4 linked regions of the Oryzias latipes genome follow. The protein of the gene in region 3 purifies or fractionates together with the protein of the main gene of each other region. This does not show direct contact. Links are inferred from orthologs where the notes say so. Each region holds a gene or a part of one and is shown on either strand. Other genes may lie near its edges.

Evidence for each region. Proteins that work in one complex are often made in the same cells at the same time.
Region 1: the proteins of bcl7a (region 3) and arid2 purify together in Homo sapiens (affinity purification with mass spectrometry; 3 studies listed by BioGRID and IntAct, counting the BioPlex papers as one, with this or other methods). This does not show direct contact. The link is inferred for Oryzias latipes from reciprocal best matches to the Homo sapiens genes BCL7A and ARID2.
Region 2: the proteins of bcl7a (region 3) and phf10 purify together in Homo sapiens (affinity purification with mass spectrometry; 3 studies listed by BioGRID and IntAct, counting the BioPlex papers as one, with this or other methods). This does not show direct contact. The link is inferred for Oryzias latipes from reciprocal best matches to the Homo sapiens genes BCL7A and PHF10.
Region 4: the proteins of bcl7a (region 3) and pbrm1 purify together in Homo sapiens (affinity purification with mass spectrometry; 3 studies listed by BioGRID and IntAct, counting the BioPlex papers as one, with this or other methods). This does not show direct contact. The link is inferred for Oryzias latipes from reciprocal best matches to the Homo sapiens genes BCL7A and PBRM1.

What each region holds. Positions count from the first base shown.
Region 1 is NC_019881.2:3,999,490-4,002,989, forward strand, and holds part of arid2 (AT-rich interactive domain-containing protein 2), read left to right. Parts: intron 1-538; coding exon 539-757; intron 758-844; coding exon 845-912; intron 913-2,029; coding exon 2,030-2,099; intron 2,100-2,515; coding exon 2,516-2,763; intron 2,764-3,094; coding exon 3,095-3,191; intron 3,192-3,269; coding exon 3,270-3,479; intron 3,480-3,500. UniProt on the Homo sapiens protein: Involved in transcriptional activation and repression of select genes by chromatin remodeling (alteration of DNA-nucleosome topology). Required for the stability of the SWI/SNF chromatin remodeling complex SWI/SNF-B (PBAF).
Region 2 is NC_019861.2:24,492,882-24,495,751, forward strand, and holds part of phf10 (PHD finger protein 10), read right to left. Parts: intron 2,630-2,870; coding exon 2,483-2,629; intron 1-2,482. UniProt on the Homo sapiens protein: Involved in transcription activity regulation by chromatin remodeling. Belongs to the neural progenitors-specific chromatin remodeling complex (npBAF complex) and is required for the proliferation of neural progenitors.
Region 3 is NC_019870.2:1,211,988-1,216,279, forward strand, and holds the start of bcl7a (B-cell CLL/lymphoma 7 protein family member A), read right to left. Parts: upstream 2,801-4,292; 5' UTR 2,694-2,800; coding exon 2,602-2,693; intron 1,054-2,601; coding exon 803-1,053; intron 706-802; coding exon 556-705; intron 37-555; coding exon 1-36.
Region 4 is NC_019863.2:2,540,831-2,544,330, reverse strand, and holds part of pbrm1 (protein polybromo-1), read right to left. Parts: coding exon 3,360-3,500; intron 3,210-3,359; coding exon 3,104-3,209; intron 3,030-3,103; coding exon 2,390-3,029; intron 2,315-2,389; coding exon 2,103-2,314; intron 2,011-2,102; coding exon 1,831-2,010; intron 786-1,830; coding exon 628-785; intron 545-627; coding exon 293-544; intron 218-292; coding exon 72-217; intron 1-71. UniProt on the Homo sapiens protein: Involved in transcriptional activation and repression of select genes by chromatin remodeling (alteration of DNA-nucleosome topology). Required for the stability of the SWI/SNF chromatin remodeling complex SWI/SNF-B (PBAF).

The sequences.
Region 1 (3,500 bases), on a different chromosome or scaffold from region 3:
AATCATCTTCCAATTTCATCAACCCCCCCCCCTTCCCCCCCAAACGTACATCTCCTCTTCTTTACCGTTCGCCCAACAAAAAAAACTGAATCAAATATGATTAATATAAATAATGTTTAGTCTGAGTTACAAAATGGGTTTATTCAAATATACTCCTTGTCAGTCATAAGATTCATAATCCCTGTTATGTAACAGTAAAATATACAGCTCTCATCTGTTTCTCATCTGTTCAAAAAAAAAAAAAAAGCTGCTGCAGATATGCGACAGAATAACAAATATTGGCGCCAATGATGGTACAAACCCTTGGAAACATGGAAATCCCATCTTTACAACATCAGGGTCGGCCTCCGGAAGCAGCAGTACAGTAAACCCCCCCGAGGATGTTTCTCCTCTTCAGAATGTTGTTTTTCAGCATCAGTGCAGGCTTAAACTTGAACATTGGTGCTCCTCGTACAGATGGGAAACCTCATCGAACAGCTGAACCGTATCGTGTGAAGTTAAATTGAACTATTTTCCATTTGTCCCCACCCCCCCACAGACTATCTCCGCCAAAGCTATGGACTGTCCACAGACTTCGTTCCGCCCTGCGACTACAGCAAACTGGTGCTCTCTCTCCTGTCGGGCCTCCCCAACGAGGTGGACTTCGCCGTCAACGTTTGCACACTTCTATCCAACGAGAGCAAGCACGTCATGCAGCTGGACAAGGACCCCAAACTGGTCACGCTGCTGCTCGCCCACGCCGGCGTCTTCGACGACTGTACGTCCACAGCCCTCGTTTCGGAGCGTTCTCCCTCTTCCCGACGGGGGCGGCTTCCTCTAAGTCAACTCCTCTGTTTGTGTGCAGCTTTAGGCAGCTTCTCTGGGGTGTTTGGGAGCGACTGGAAGGAGAAAACGTCCCGGGACTTCATCAGGGTAAAGACTTTTTTGATTCTGCCCCCGCAGCGGTCCTAAACTGCCAGGACCCAAAATGTTTTTGCAATTCTGCTTACTGTCTGACTGCGCATTGAAAGTAAAATGTGGCCCCGCCCACAAACTCAAAACCCCTAAATGTTTGCACAGCTAGTAGCTGCAGAAAATGGACTTTTGAGGACAAATGTTGACATGACAGCAGGAAAGACAATCATAAAAACGAGACTCGTTTGAGGCTAAAAAGTTATCTTCACCAAATTTCACAAAGTCTACAACTGAACCTATGTTGACCTTTGACCTCAGGAAGAGGCAGCCATGTTGAATTTTCAATAACCTCTCCTTTGGTACCAGCTACGAGTTAAAATCTTGGGGATTCTCATTTAACGCCTCTGAACTCTCCGAGCATCACTGCAAAGCTACTTGGGAAATGGATGTTAGAATGTTAGTGGTCGATTTTGAACGGCGTTTGCGTGGCGAGCTTGAAAAAAGAAAAAAAGGTGCTCCCCTACTGTTCGCACATTTTTTATCCGAGTGTTGTGAAAATGTAATTTGTGAATTTCTGGCTCAAGCTGCACGAAACCATAGAAACATACGATATGACTGGGGTAGGAATGTGGGCGTGGTTAACAAAAATCCTCAGTTGTCAAGGAAATCCAAAAGTTTACTTTTGCAGATTCTTCTTCAGATTACATCGATCTGTTGTGACCTCCAGAGGACTTAAACATAATATGGTTGCTATGGAGATAAACTCAACAGAAAAGCTGCCGCGTTTCTTTTGTCACCTGCAGCTCTGATCAGGGTGGGAGGATGAGGGGTGTGCAGCCTGTATGCCTGGGTTAAACGGGGGCGGCGAGGGCGTAGGCGGGGCCATACAACGCTGCTCGCCATTTCAGTGACGTTTCGGCAAGCCCTGTAGATGCAGAAACTTCAGAAACGCCGCTGTTTATTGTACCTGAAGGACTTCAGGAAAGTCCAAAAACTAAACTCGGCGCGCTTCCCGCTCCCTTTACCTCGTTGGGACTCCTGAGTTCCTGACTTCCTTCAAAGTGCATCCTGGGAAATGTAGGCTACATCTTTTCACGAGGAAACAGGTGTGAGCTGCTGTTCTACTTCCTTACAGTTCTGGAGGGAAGTGGTGGAAGACACTGAAGTCCGGGAGCTGATCTGGGACAAAAGCGGCCTGACCCAAGGTGAGGGCGTGGCCCGGAGGCACACGGGTGTTTGACGAGCTGTCATCGAATGTTTGTTTGACCCGGCTGGGTTCACATGACTCTAGACTTGGTTGATGTGAAATCCATAAATCCATTAACTTTTAAAGCTGTTTTTCTTGTCTCAAGTTTTGGATGTTAAAAAGTAAGAATGAAAAAATTCACTTTTGTTTATTTAAAACTGCCAGATAAGTTTTCTTAACCAAATGAGATGAAGATTCAAGTAAAAATGTGCAAAGAATTGAACAGGAGTGATTCATGACTGGGACAGATGTGCAGATGTTTTAGTACTGTCACACACACACACACACACATCTGGAGGAGGCTGTGCGTCAGTGTCTGTGCAAGTCCAAACCCCTGGCGGCTCTGAAGGCCCTCCCCCTGTGTTGTCTGCGCAGACGGCACGTGTGGAGATCGCTGGCAGAGCCTCTTCCACCCGCCGCGAAACCAGGGCATCAGCGACATGGAGGCCCAGCGGGTGCTGCAGGTCGCCGTCATCCTGCGAAACCTCTCCTTCGAGGAGGCCAACGTCAAGCTGCTGGCGGCCAACCGAACGTGCCTGCGCTTCCTTTTGCTCTGCGCCCACTGTAACCTCATCTCACTAAGACAGCTCGGACTCGACACGCTGGGCAACGTGGCGGCCGAGGTACGGCGCTCGAACGTCAGCGCTCTCACCAGTTTAATGTCGGACAGGATTTTCATGGACCGCTCGGTCCGAGAATGAAGTTGGCGTCTCCGTTGATTTAAAGTTTCCAGTTTTCTTTAACTTTTGAGGGTAGAGATGGTCTCCCTCCTCTGTAGCGTCTTTAACCTTGGTTTCTAGATTTCCTGTTGGAACCGTTCAAATGTGATTTTAGATTTTCTCTCGACTGTCAAAGTGGAAGCTAAAACATCAGACGCCAGCTTCAGCCTCGGATGCTGGACGCTCCCCTCTGTTTGTGTGCGGGGGGTTTGAACATGCGGTTCTCTCGCTGCAGCTCCAGCTCGACCCCGTTGACTTTCGGACGACGCACCTGATCTTTCACACCATCACCAAATGCCTGATGTCCAGAGACCGCTTCCTGAAGATGAGGGGTGAGTCTCCTCCCTGCTCCTGGGCTCCTCTATGTCAGATTGAGCTGACCCCCCCCCCCTGCTCCGTGTGTCCCTCAGCCATGGAGATCCTGGGGAACCTCAGCAAAGCGGACGACAACAGCGTGTTGATCTGCGAGTATGTGGACCAGGAGTCGTACAGGGAGGTGATGATGCTCCTCACCCTGCCCGACCTCATGCTCCTCATGGCCTCCTTGGAGGTGCTGTACCTGCTGGCTCAGCTCGGAGAGGTGTCCTGCAGTAAGATCGCCTCCGTTGACCACAGCATAGGTATGAACCAGAACCGGTCCC
Region 2 (2,870 bases), on a different chromosome or scaffold from region 3:
TGCATTATTAGAGTTTAAATCACAATAATACATATTCATAAATCCTATTTTAGGCCAAAAAATTGCCTTATTAATGTATAAAACGGGTTTCAATGGCTTGCCCACAGACCGGCCAGAAATTAAACCACCAACCTTAATATAAATGCTGTATGATTGATACTTTATGATATGCAGCTATTTATCATTTAGAAATTATTAGTAATACAACTTAAAACCTCTGTAAATGTCAATTACAGAAACTCTGGAAGGTTTTTTTCTTTTTTTGTTTTGAAAACGGTTTTGTTTAAAAGAAAGCAGAGTGGGGAAATACAGACAAAAGGGGAGAAATGTTAATACTGTAGTTAGGGAGGCTTACACGTGGATGTCACACAGTCAAAAAGTCCTAAATGTTCCTGGATTCAAAGAAGTCATCAAATATGTGGATGCGTGTCATGTTTTGCTATTATTAATAAATAAAAGATTTTTAAGTCAGTAGCATAAACATAAAAATTTGAGGAAAGTTACAGTGTGACAACCATCCTTTAAATCTCCCTTAAAAAGGAAGAAGGCCAGAGTAAAACGGTAAATAAATAATAATAAAGACGCAAAACGAAAGAATAAAGTCTGCTAATAATGAAAAGACTTCAAATACTAACAAATCCAAGATTCAGAAAGCAAAAAGGAAGACAAAATAGGTGAAATGTGTTCATTAAATCTTCTGTCAACATTTTACTACACTATCGTTGATGATTCTTGGCTGAAGTGTAGTCTATTATTTTGATCTATTTTGGACCACATTGATTATTTAAAAAAAAAAAGAAAAAATTTCTCGCTAAGATTTTATATAAGCCATGAAAGTCTACAAAATCTGGTTAAATACTGACCTACAAAACAAAGAATAGCTCTACACCTTTACCGGTAAACTGAAGGACAGTTTTCACCCATTTTTAAATCGTTCCTCAAAAACCCCTTTCTAAAGAGCAGTGTCAGGGTATTTCTAGGGTTTTTTAATCCCTAATCAAGTTTGTTCAGATTTGTTGCAGAAAGTAAACATCTAATGTGCACTGTTCCCCCGTCATATCAGTGAAAGCCTGAGATGTGACATGAGTTCCCTTTTTACTGTAGAACTTGTGCACAACAGACCAGTGCAAAATAACATAAACTAAGTAGATGCAATCAATACAAGTCATTTATTCTTTTGATCAGCTGAAGAAAGAGCTTTGACTTGAAAAAATTTACCAAATTTACAAAATTGCACATTACATTTGATATTCAAACACTACATTGACCCTTTTCTTTAACAAAAATGTCAATATCTGAGGAATGATATTCTAAGGAGTTTCAGCTAACAGCATGCCATGGCATATTTGAAAACCTTTAAGTACTTAGAAGTAGTTTTTTTTTTCCTTTTTCATTTCATAAAAAAAAATTCAAAACAGACACTAAAATTCAAAGAGCCATGTCCACACCACACAGCTGAGCTGAAGTCAAACGTTCGGGTCCATTATTGCCCCTTGAATATTGATCCATCAGTACAGTTTACTTTGAGAATTTGCTGCGGGCTAAAATAGAAAATAAAGTTTACGATGGGGACAAAAATGTCTCATTAAAAGTGCTTCAAGCGTATCTGTGAGGTCCAATAGCTTCATAAAGTAATGGCAAAGATACTGAATGACTGGGAGTTCATGGCTGAAGCAGTCAGCACACAAACTTGTATCTCAGCTCAGCATCAGTGTGAACAGGGGCAGCAGAGCTAGGCGTCTCCATGGTGACAGGTGAAAACCATGCCAAACAACTGCAAGGTACTCCTGAACATATTAACAGTACACCACATTGTGTATAAACAAATGATGTTCTTATACCAGTACATACTTTAAACATTAGGATTACATATCTGAAGTAAACATAAGTAAAGGTTAAATACTCTATATTTAACATGAATTTTCTTAGATATTAACCACAAGTTATACGTGGTTGATGCTTTCTATGTTAGAGTAAATAAATGAGGAAACTAGCAGCCAAACATCCACTTACTTGTCTGGAAACTTACTCTTATTTTTTGACAAGTGAGGACAGGCAAGAGGTATACTTGATGAAAGGGAAAGATTCACTTGAAGTCATTAAACTAAAAATAATCCACAAAAAAAATAAGTGATTTCCTCTTTTAAAATATTCTTATTGCTTTGAGTTTACTGCAATGTGAGGAAGAAATAGCCACATTGCTGGATTAAAACCAAAATCTGAAGGCGGTAACCCCTCAGGAATGGGTATGTGTGTGTGTGTGTGTGGGGGGGGGGGGGGGGGGGGGGTGCATGTGTGAACCAATATGTCCCAACTTGAAAAGGCTGACCAACTGCAGAAGCTGGAGAACAAAGTGAAGAGAACTGAGAGGGAAGGGCAGGATGTATGGAGTAAAGGAGTGGTAGTAAAAAGAGGAGGAGGAGGGGTAGAAAAGTGCTGCTGCTGTTTTTTGGAGAAAAGTTCAGGTGGTTTTGTCCTCTACCTTGTACCCTTGGGAGGCTTTGAGGAGGGCAGACTGGCGCTGATCTTTGCCTGGTGTTGATGTCCTGTCTTTCATTTTAGACTTGCTGCCCTGCCCACCTCCACCTTCCTGACTCTCCACGTCAGAGGCGTTGCCTGAAGAGCTGTCCTGTTAAATAACAGAGAGGGGGGTACAAAAAAAAAAACACGCTTATAAAAGAAAATTAAAGAGGTCTGTAATCTTTCTTTACACAAAAACTGAAGTAAATTATAAGTTTTCAAATTTTTTTAAGAACTTTTAACACTTAAATCAACTTGCCTGATTTCAAAATTCCACCAAACATATTATTTAGAAAGCAGAAAAGAGTTATTGGCACTTAGATATATATATACATGTGCACAGAATACAC
Region 3 (4,292 bases):
CTCTCTCTGAGGTCTCTGACGAGGGCGTGGTCTTACCTGTGGGTCAGAGGTCACAGCTTGGATCAAACTGCAGTCCCTTTTGTGGTGCTTTACTGACACCCTGTGGTGAAATGAAGGAACTGCAACTTGTAACGAGATGTAAAGGTTCTCCGTCACATTGAAGCCCATCAGGACAACTATTGTTGTAATTTTAGGGTTTATAAATTGAATTGGTCGTATTTAAGGAATTCTGTGACAAATTGGGATAAAGGTTTGTCTTTTATTCCGTCAAAGTATTGGATTCGTTCAGTTTTGCTTCAATTAAATCTTAATTGGTCTTTCTGAAGATCGGCCATGATGAGGGCGCCGTTTTCACAACGCATCAGGGCGGGGCTTCACACAGAGCCTTTCTGATTGGCTCAGACTGTCTGACTTCATTTCCTCTCTGTGCTCTCAATCAGAGCCCGTCTGGAAAACACGGTTGACGGTTGAATTCCCTGAGGGCGGCGCTGAGGCTACAGCTGCGCCGAGGGGTCGCTGGCTCCAACCAGCTGCTGTTTGCATTTGACCTCTGACCTCTCTTGCTGTCCGGGCTCTGCTCGCTCTTGGTCTCGCTGTTCTCACGGAGCGTGGCGGCGTTGTTCTCGGGGGCGGGGCTTGTGCTACAGCTGTTTTCCTGCTTCACTGGGGACGAGTCTGCGATGGAGCTCTGGTTGCTGTTGTCGTCTGAAGGAGAAGCACGCTCAGCCTTTATTTACATTCATCAGAGAACGACCTGTTGTCATGTCCAGCTGTGACCTCAGGTGGGGGGGTGGGGCCTCACCGTGCATGTCCATCATCCCCGGAGACGAGCTGTTCTCCGGGGTCGTCACCTCTGAGCCGTACTTCTCATCTTTGCCCTTTTTCTTGTTTTTGTTTTTCTGAAAACGGAAAATAAGAATCATCCATTTTGAAGAGAAACCCCGGCTGACAGGTGTCAGAGGCGGACTCACGTCCTCAGATTTGGGCTCCGTCACCGGGACCCACTTGTAGATGCGGAGGGACGTGTCTCCCACCGTCACCCACTTCTTCTCCCTGAAGAGAGGAAACCATCAGGACAGGAAGCATCTCTGACTTTAAGGGGAAAACCTCATCATCCTGACAGAAGCGCCTTTCATTAAAAAACCAAAAATCACATCAAAAGAAGATTTTTTCCCCTTAATTATATCAATAATAAATCCTTTAAATATATATGTTAAAAGGGATTTATGTGAAAAATGCTATTTTCTCCTCTTTAAAAATCTTATTTTAAGATTTCAAACTGATTTTATTACTTTTATATTTTACAAAATACATTAATTATATTATTGATTAGTTACCGATCAGATGTATATATACAAAAATCTTAAACAGCTTTATTATTCATAAATGAATATGAAGTGTGTGTTGGAAAAAAATATTTTTCTATAATTTATAAAAACCAACAAAAAAGTTATAAAAATAATGTCACTAAATGATCAATATATTGATTATTGATCAGTATGATTCGATTATTTCCCTTGTTTTTCTAAATCACTACTTAAACCTTTAAAAAAGCTACATTTAGGTGTTAAGGTAAAATCCCTCTATCTAAATAAACAATTTTGGTATTAAAATTTCTCATATATAAGAAAAAAATGTAAACTGAAACAAATGTTTAATCCTTAAACTGATGTTAATAAAACTAAACAGAAGTTAAAATGTGTTTTAAAAATATTTTTTATTAGGAATGAATTGTTGCAATTTACAAACAAAATGTTTAACTTTTTTTAAATTTGGGGGAATAACTGACTGAAACTGTTTTGTTTACCCGCCTAAAGTTTCTGGTTCCGGTTTGTTTATTCCGTTTTATTTTCTTAACTTTAATCGAAAAAAATAAACTTCTGACTTTGACCTGGAGACGTTTGATTAATCCACCCAGACAGGCAGAAATTGAAAAAAATACCGCCCCCCGGCGGGGTCACGCGGCTGGATCCACGCTCCTCGTGTCCGGGTGATAACCGTATATGTGCGGCGGAGAAGCTGAAGGCGGTTAAAGGGTGATTTTCCGCGGCGAACCGGTCGCTCGGCGCCGCTGGCTGCGCGTTCAGCCATGCATCTCGGCGGACTTCCCTCTCCCAACCCCCACCGACCGAGCGCTGCTCCGTCGGACCCGAAGGGCGACTCCGAGCGCTGCCTTAAAACTCCTCGCGGGCCGAAGAGCCCGGACTCCGGAGCGTCATCGAACGGTCCCTCCGTCCGCGCCGGGTGTTCGTTTGGCCGGCGCCGCTCCGCTCGCGCTCCCGGCTCCGCAGCGAGCAGCAATGGCTTCATGTGACTGCATCGAAATGGCTTCTTCTGGGTTCAGCCCTAGCCGTTAAAAATCGGCGGAAAAACAGCGGCTATGCGACGAACCGGTTCCCGCCGAAGCCCGCCTCCGACCGGCGAAGACCGGTACGCCGGTGCGGACCGCTGCACCTGAGCCGCGGCGGGATCTGCCGTCCAGAAAACGTCGTTTTCTTTCAATTTCATCCGTCTCCGTCTCGCTTCTTCCCTCTCCTCCCCCAACAAGAGAGCCTTTCTGCTCCCGGGTAACGAAGCGCTCCTTTCCCGGCGTTTACTCACCATTTTCGTACTTTCTCGATGGCGGCCATGACCCTCTTGATGTCATCTTTGGCCCTGCTCCGGGTCTCCGCTCGGACCGACCTGCCCGACATTTCCGCGCTGCTAAAATATTTTTAAAGCTCGCCGGCAGTTCAGACACAATGCAAACAGTAGAGCGCACAGAGAGGCCAGTGCGCCTGCGCGGCTCCGGGGGAAGAGGGGGGGGGCGGCTGCGGCTGCGCGCTGAGCTCAGATCAGATCCTGCTGAGCGGCGGAACAAAGAAGCCGCAGCCGCCTCCGCTCTGCCCCCCAGGTCTGCCCCCAGAGCCGGTACAGGGTGTCCGCCGCGGCAGGAACACAGCTGTTCTGTTTTTACCCACTCACTTGTAAAAAAAATCGCCATAAAAAGAGAAAAAGTTTGACTCTTTGTCATTTTTGTTGGTATTTTACACAAAAAGAACAAAGCAGCTTTACCGCAGAGACATCAAAGGGCCGGAAACACCAACATGGAATTAGAGGGAGGCTTTCTGATTCAAACTAATGGAAGTTCAGAATCAGAAAGCCTTTATTATCATTGTTACACAAGAAACTTGTGACAACGAAATTCTGTTGCTCTTAGATATATGATCCATAAACATCTGAGCTCTTCATGCAGCCACACGGTGTCGTCTGGTCTGTTTACACACTTTCAAATCCAAACCGGTCTCCAGCGAGAGAGAGAAGATACTGCCTAACAGGTATCTACCAAATGTTCGGCTTAGCCGCTCAAATGAATCCAGGGTGTTGTCCACAAACAGATCTTTAAATCTTGTGTTGCCCTTCTTGTGCCACTCCTGAAAACCCCTGTCGTGAAGGGAGGGTATGAAAACACTTTGAGGCCATCACCACCAAAACACCATTTCTGCTAAATGTTTATTATTTTCAATGATTTTTTTTTTGGTAGACTTTTTTTCATTTAACATAATTTAAAATGTGCGGTTGCTATCCACGTTTAGCTTAGCCATGTTGGGTTCTGGTTGAAACTATCATGACTGTCACACTGTGACATATAGTGAAGTTACGCTTGTGACCCGAGGCTGTCAGTACTGACAAAACATGTCCATCATATTTGGACCAACCAGAGTTGCCTCGTTTATCACTGAGGATGCGTTTCATAATTGACCCATGAAAGGGTAAAATACTAAGTTCACACTGGGCAAGCAGGGAGGGGCTTCTTCTTCTTCTTTCCCCACTGTTTACTATATCTGCCACAGTTGGAAGAGGCTGGGTGTGAAATGTCAGTGGTGCAAATCTTGCCCAAGACTTTTTCTTTCACAGCTCCATTCTGATAAATCACAGAATTCCTGCTGGACGTAAACCACAATTATACATTTCTGCAGCTCCATGAGCTTTTTTTCAATGGTTGGCACTTCTGTGAATTCGAGAGGACACCATCCATTCGTCACTACCAAGTCCCTGCTTGGTCAAACTTTGACCTGGTTTACCTTGCAACGTGCGTTCAGTGCCCATGCGTTCTGTACGTAGAACCCAAAACGGTAGAACCTTCCATAGATGCGAGTTCTAAATGAAGCCCCAAACTTTGCATAAACTTTTCAGTGGAAGTGGCTGCAGGTCTGGAGGCAGAAGACCATGAGGAAAAAATAAGGCACATAAAAGGATTCCGGGGGTAAATGGCGTACACTTGTGTAGCGCTTTTCTACCTTCCTCGAAGG
Region 4 (3,500 bases), on a different chromosome or scaffold from region 3:
TAAGATACGAAATATTCAACAGAAAAAACATTTATAGATCAGTATGTTCAGAATGGCAGTATTTCCTTTACCTGCCCACTCGGTGACGCACCAGTCCATGAGAACCAATGTAAACACAGTCTCCCACTTTCAGCCACAGGTTGTTGTAGCACAGCTGCTCGTAGTACTGACAGCCTGGCTCTCCGTTGGTGAAATCCAAAGGAACGTCCTCCCTCTCCTGTTGACATGAAAAACTTTAGCATTTGAAGGTTACACACAAACAAACAAACAAACAAACAAACAAAGCTTTTACCTTCTCTATGACCCCATCTGTCATTTTGCTCTCGTCTTCCGTCTCCGGTGGCTTCTCATCTGGTTTAGTGGCAAATATGGAAGCTACACGAACCACAGGAAGGGGTACTTCTCGAGGAGTGAACCGAACTGAGTTCAGAGGCATGGTCCACATCTTGATCTTCTTGAAGGACTTAGACTTAGCAGAGTAACGCGATTCACAGACGTACACATCCTCTTCCTGGAAACCTTCTGGGTAGAGCTTGAAGTACTCCTAGAGTTCCAAAAGTATCTGGTTAACACATACTAGAGTGGGGGAAAAAAATCTAAAAAGAGATTTTAGCAGGAGCAAAGTACCTTTACGAACATAACAACACACTTTCCCAGAATTTTGCTGATGGGAGTTTTGTTGTAGTAATCGCTCTTGAAAACTTCCTTCTCCAAGAATTTTCTTGTGGCCAAATGAAACGTTTCATTTGGTCGATAGAACCAGCATCCATACAACCACTTCTCCCCTGTTTGTATCGGAGAGGGAAGAAAACCGACCGGATTTACATGGAGAGAGGGGAAAGTCAGGAAAGGAAAAAGAACAAAAACTGAATAACAGACAATAACTTAGATTGTGAACCACCTTTAACAGTAAAGAAAATTGCACATTTTCAATGTAAATAAACTAAAAATATTAGGAGGGTACAGTCTAAAACACTCCTTTTGTCTTTTCTGCCATTTGTTTCCTTCACGGTTGGATCTGCAGGAAGTTCATCTCTTTTCTAAACCTGCTGAATCCCTTTTGGGGTCAGGGGGGGTTACTGCAGCCTATCCCAGCTACTGTTGGGAGCAGGCAGTTACTCTTTGGATGGGTTGCCAGTTCATCGCAGGGGGACACATTCAAACACACATTCATACTTAGGGACAATTTGAAATAACCTACCGTCCTATCAAGCACATTTATGGCTTCTTCAGGCCTTAAGCACCTAAAGAAAATGCACCCATGCACAGGGACCCAGCTTGGATTTAAACCAGGACCTTCTCACTGTGATGCGAAAGTGCTAACCACTACACCACTGTACAACCCTTGCATTAAATCAAGGTTCACGGCTTTCTGTAATGCTTTTAGTTAAACATCTGTGTACCAGTGTCCACTGTCTCTGAAAAGTATCTTATCAGCTTTCCCGAGTTGAGGAGCAGGAGCTGGTTTTTGAATGATGTCACTGCTTTAACTCATCTATGTGTGGAATATCAGCAAACCAAATCAGATTTTTACACTAATAGCAATCATTTTCAAGTCAATTTCATAAAGCATTTCAAGCATCAGTGTTTGTCTCTTAATTTCCACACAGCCAGAACATTTTGAATTTGCATTATCGCTACATTTTCGTCAGTGCGTTGACCAGAATAGTTCATATTATGGAACATACATGTGTTTCTATAACGTTGTAGTGTTTTCTTCAGACATTGGCTTCTTCTAAACCTGGACAACCAAAGATATTTATTTTTGTAACCTCTAAGTCACTCAAGCAAATTGAAGCCCCCACATTCAAATCTGAGAAATGCACTGACCGGTGTCATCCTGCCAGAGACGCTCAATACAGATTATGTGTGGCTGTAGGTTCGACTCTGCAGGCTCGACATAGACGCAGTCCCCCACATGGTACATACTATCCTTGAAGGAGCAGTCCTGGCTGTATGTACGCTGAACGGGCCACGATGCTACTACTGGGTCCTCCCTCTTTTCTGCCTCTGAGGAGTAAAAGGTTTTGTGTGAAGAAATGTAGGAGGAGAAGGAGATACACAACTGCAGTTGTTGGTTTTCACAAGTATTTCTAGTATACCTTTTTTTTCTTCTTCTCTCTTGATTCTGTCTTCCTCGTACTCTTTGGGAAGTTTCTCTTTCTTTTCCTTGTCTACATCACTATGCAAATGTTTACTAGTATAGCTGAGGGCAGGGGACATCAAGATCTCTCCATTCTTGCACAGCTCATCTCGGATTTTGATGAAGAACTGCTGCAGCTCCACTGCATCTTCAAAGATCTCTGAATCTGTCCTGTAATAAATCAAAGACTTTGTACATACCTAAAAAAAAGCAATCCTTTGTTTGTGAGCATGATCAATACCTCACCTGCTTAACCGTCTGGCTTTCTCTAGAACCTCAAACATGTGGTCCTGAAAAACATCCAGCCTCCTGTAGCGACTCCGGTCCACATTTTTTCTGATGATCTCAAAATTAAGCAGAGGTTTCTCAGAGTTTGCTGGATCAGCAGCAGGAATCTCTGCCAGAGAATCGCTGTAGCATCGCCCCTCATCGTCTTGGTGACCAAGAACAGATACAAAGAGGCTGCGAACAAGCTCCTGGATGAGGCGGGGCACGTCCGGCACGTGGGTGTCCTCTCCTCCTTCCAGATCCCGCCTGGTCTCCAACAACACTTTGTGCAGCAAGAGAGCGTCTCGGTAAATCAGAGACTCTGGCTCGTTGTAGGTGCAGGCGTTGTTAAACATCAGCACAAAGTCCTCAACCAGAGCATCAACATCCTGGTACTTGTTAGCCAGCATGTGGCTCTTGATCTTCTCCATGTCCACCGGTTTCTTAATGGCGATATAGTAATCGGGGAGCTCAGCGCGAGATGGAAGTCTCAGGAAGATGGTGCTGAGTCGGCGACCTCGTTTGTCTGTGTAGTTCTTGACAGCTTCGTAAAGCTCATTGAGTTTCTGCTGTAAGGGACTCAAGTACTTTGATTTCTTCAGATTGATGCTGTTCTTTCCTGAAATAAACAAAACACAAAGGCTTCTCAGTAACAGGTCGGTGTACTTTTTTGACACTGGCTGTGAAACCTACTTATTTTTAACTTGGGGGACATGGTGTCGTCTTCATCAGTTGCTGGTCCGAGATCTCTGCGCCTGTCCTCCATGATCTTCTCTAGGATGTCTGCATCATTGTAGACCTGCAAAAGCGCAGATTCAAAAGGTCAAAAAGGTTTTTCTCCTCTTGTTTACTTTATTAAAGGTTAATTTCTCTTTGTTCTAGTTGTTTTTGTGAATGACTGATCCCTCGAGGACAACAGAGAACCTTCAGAAACTGTGAGCAGTCTCACCTGTGAGCCTTCCTCATTGTAGTGCCGAGCATTGCGGAACATCAGCTTCATATCTGCCACCATAGAGTCCTCGGTCAGATACTTGTCTGAGCGAATGTTGTGCTCGATGGTCCTCAGGTCCATGGGCTCCAGGATAATTTT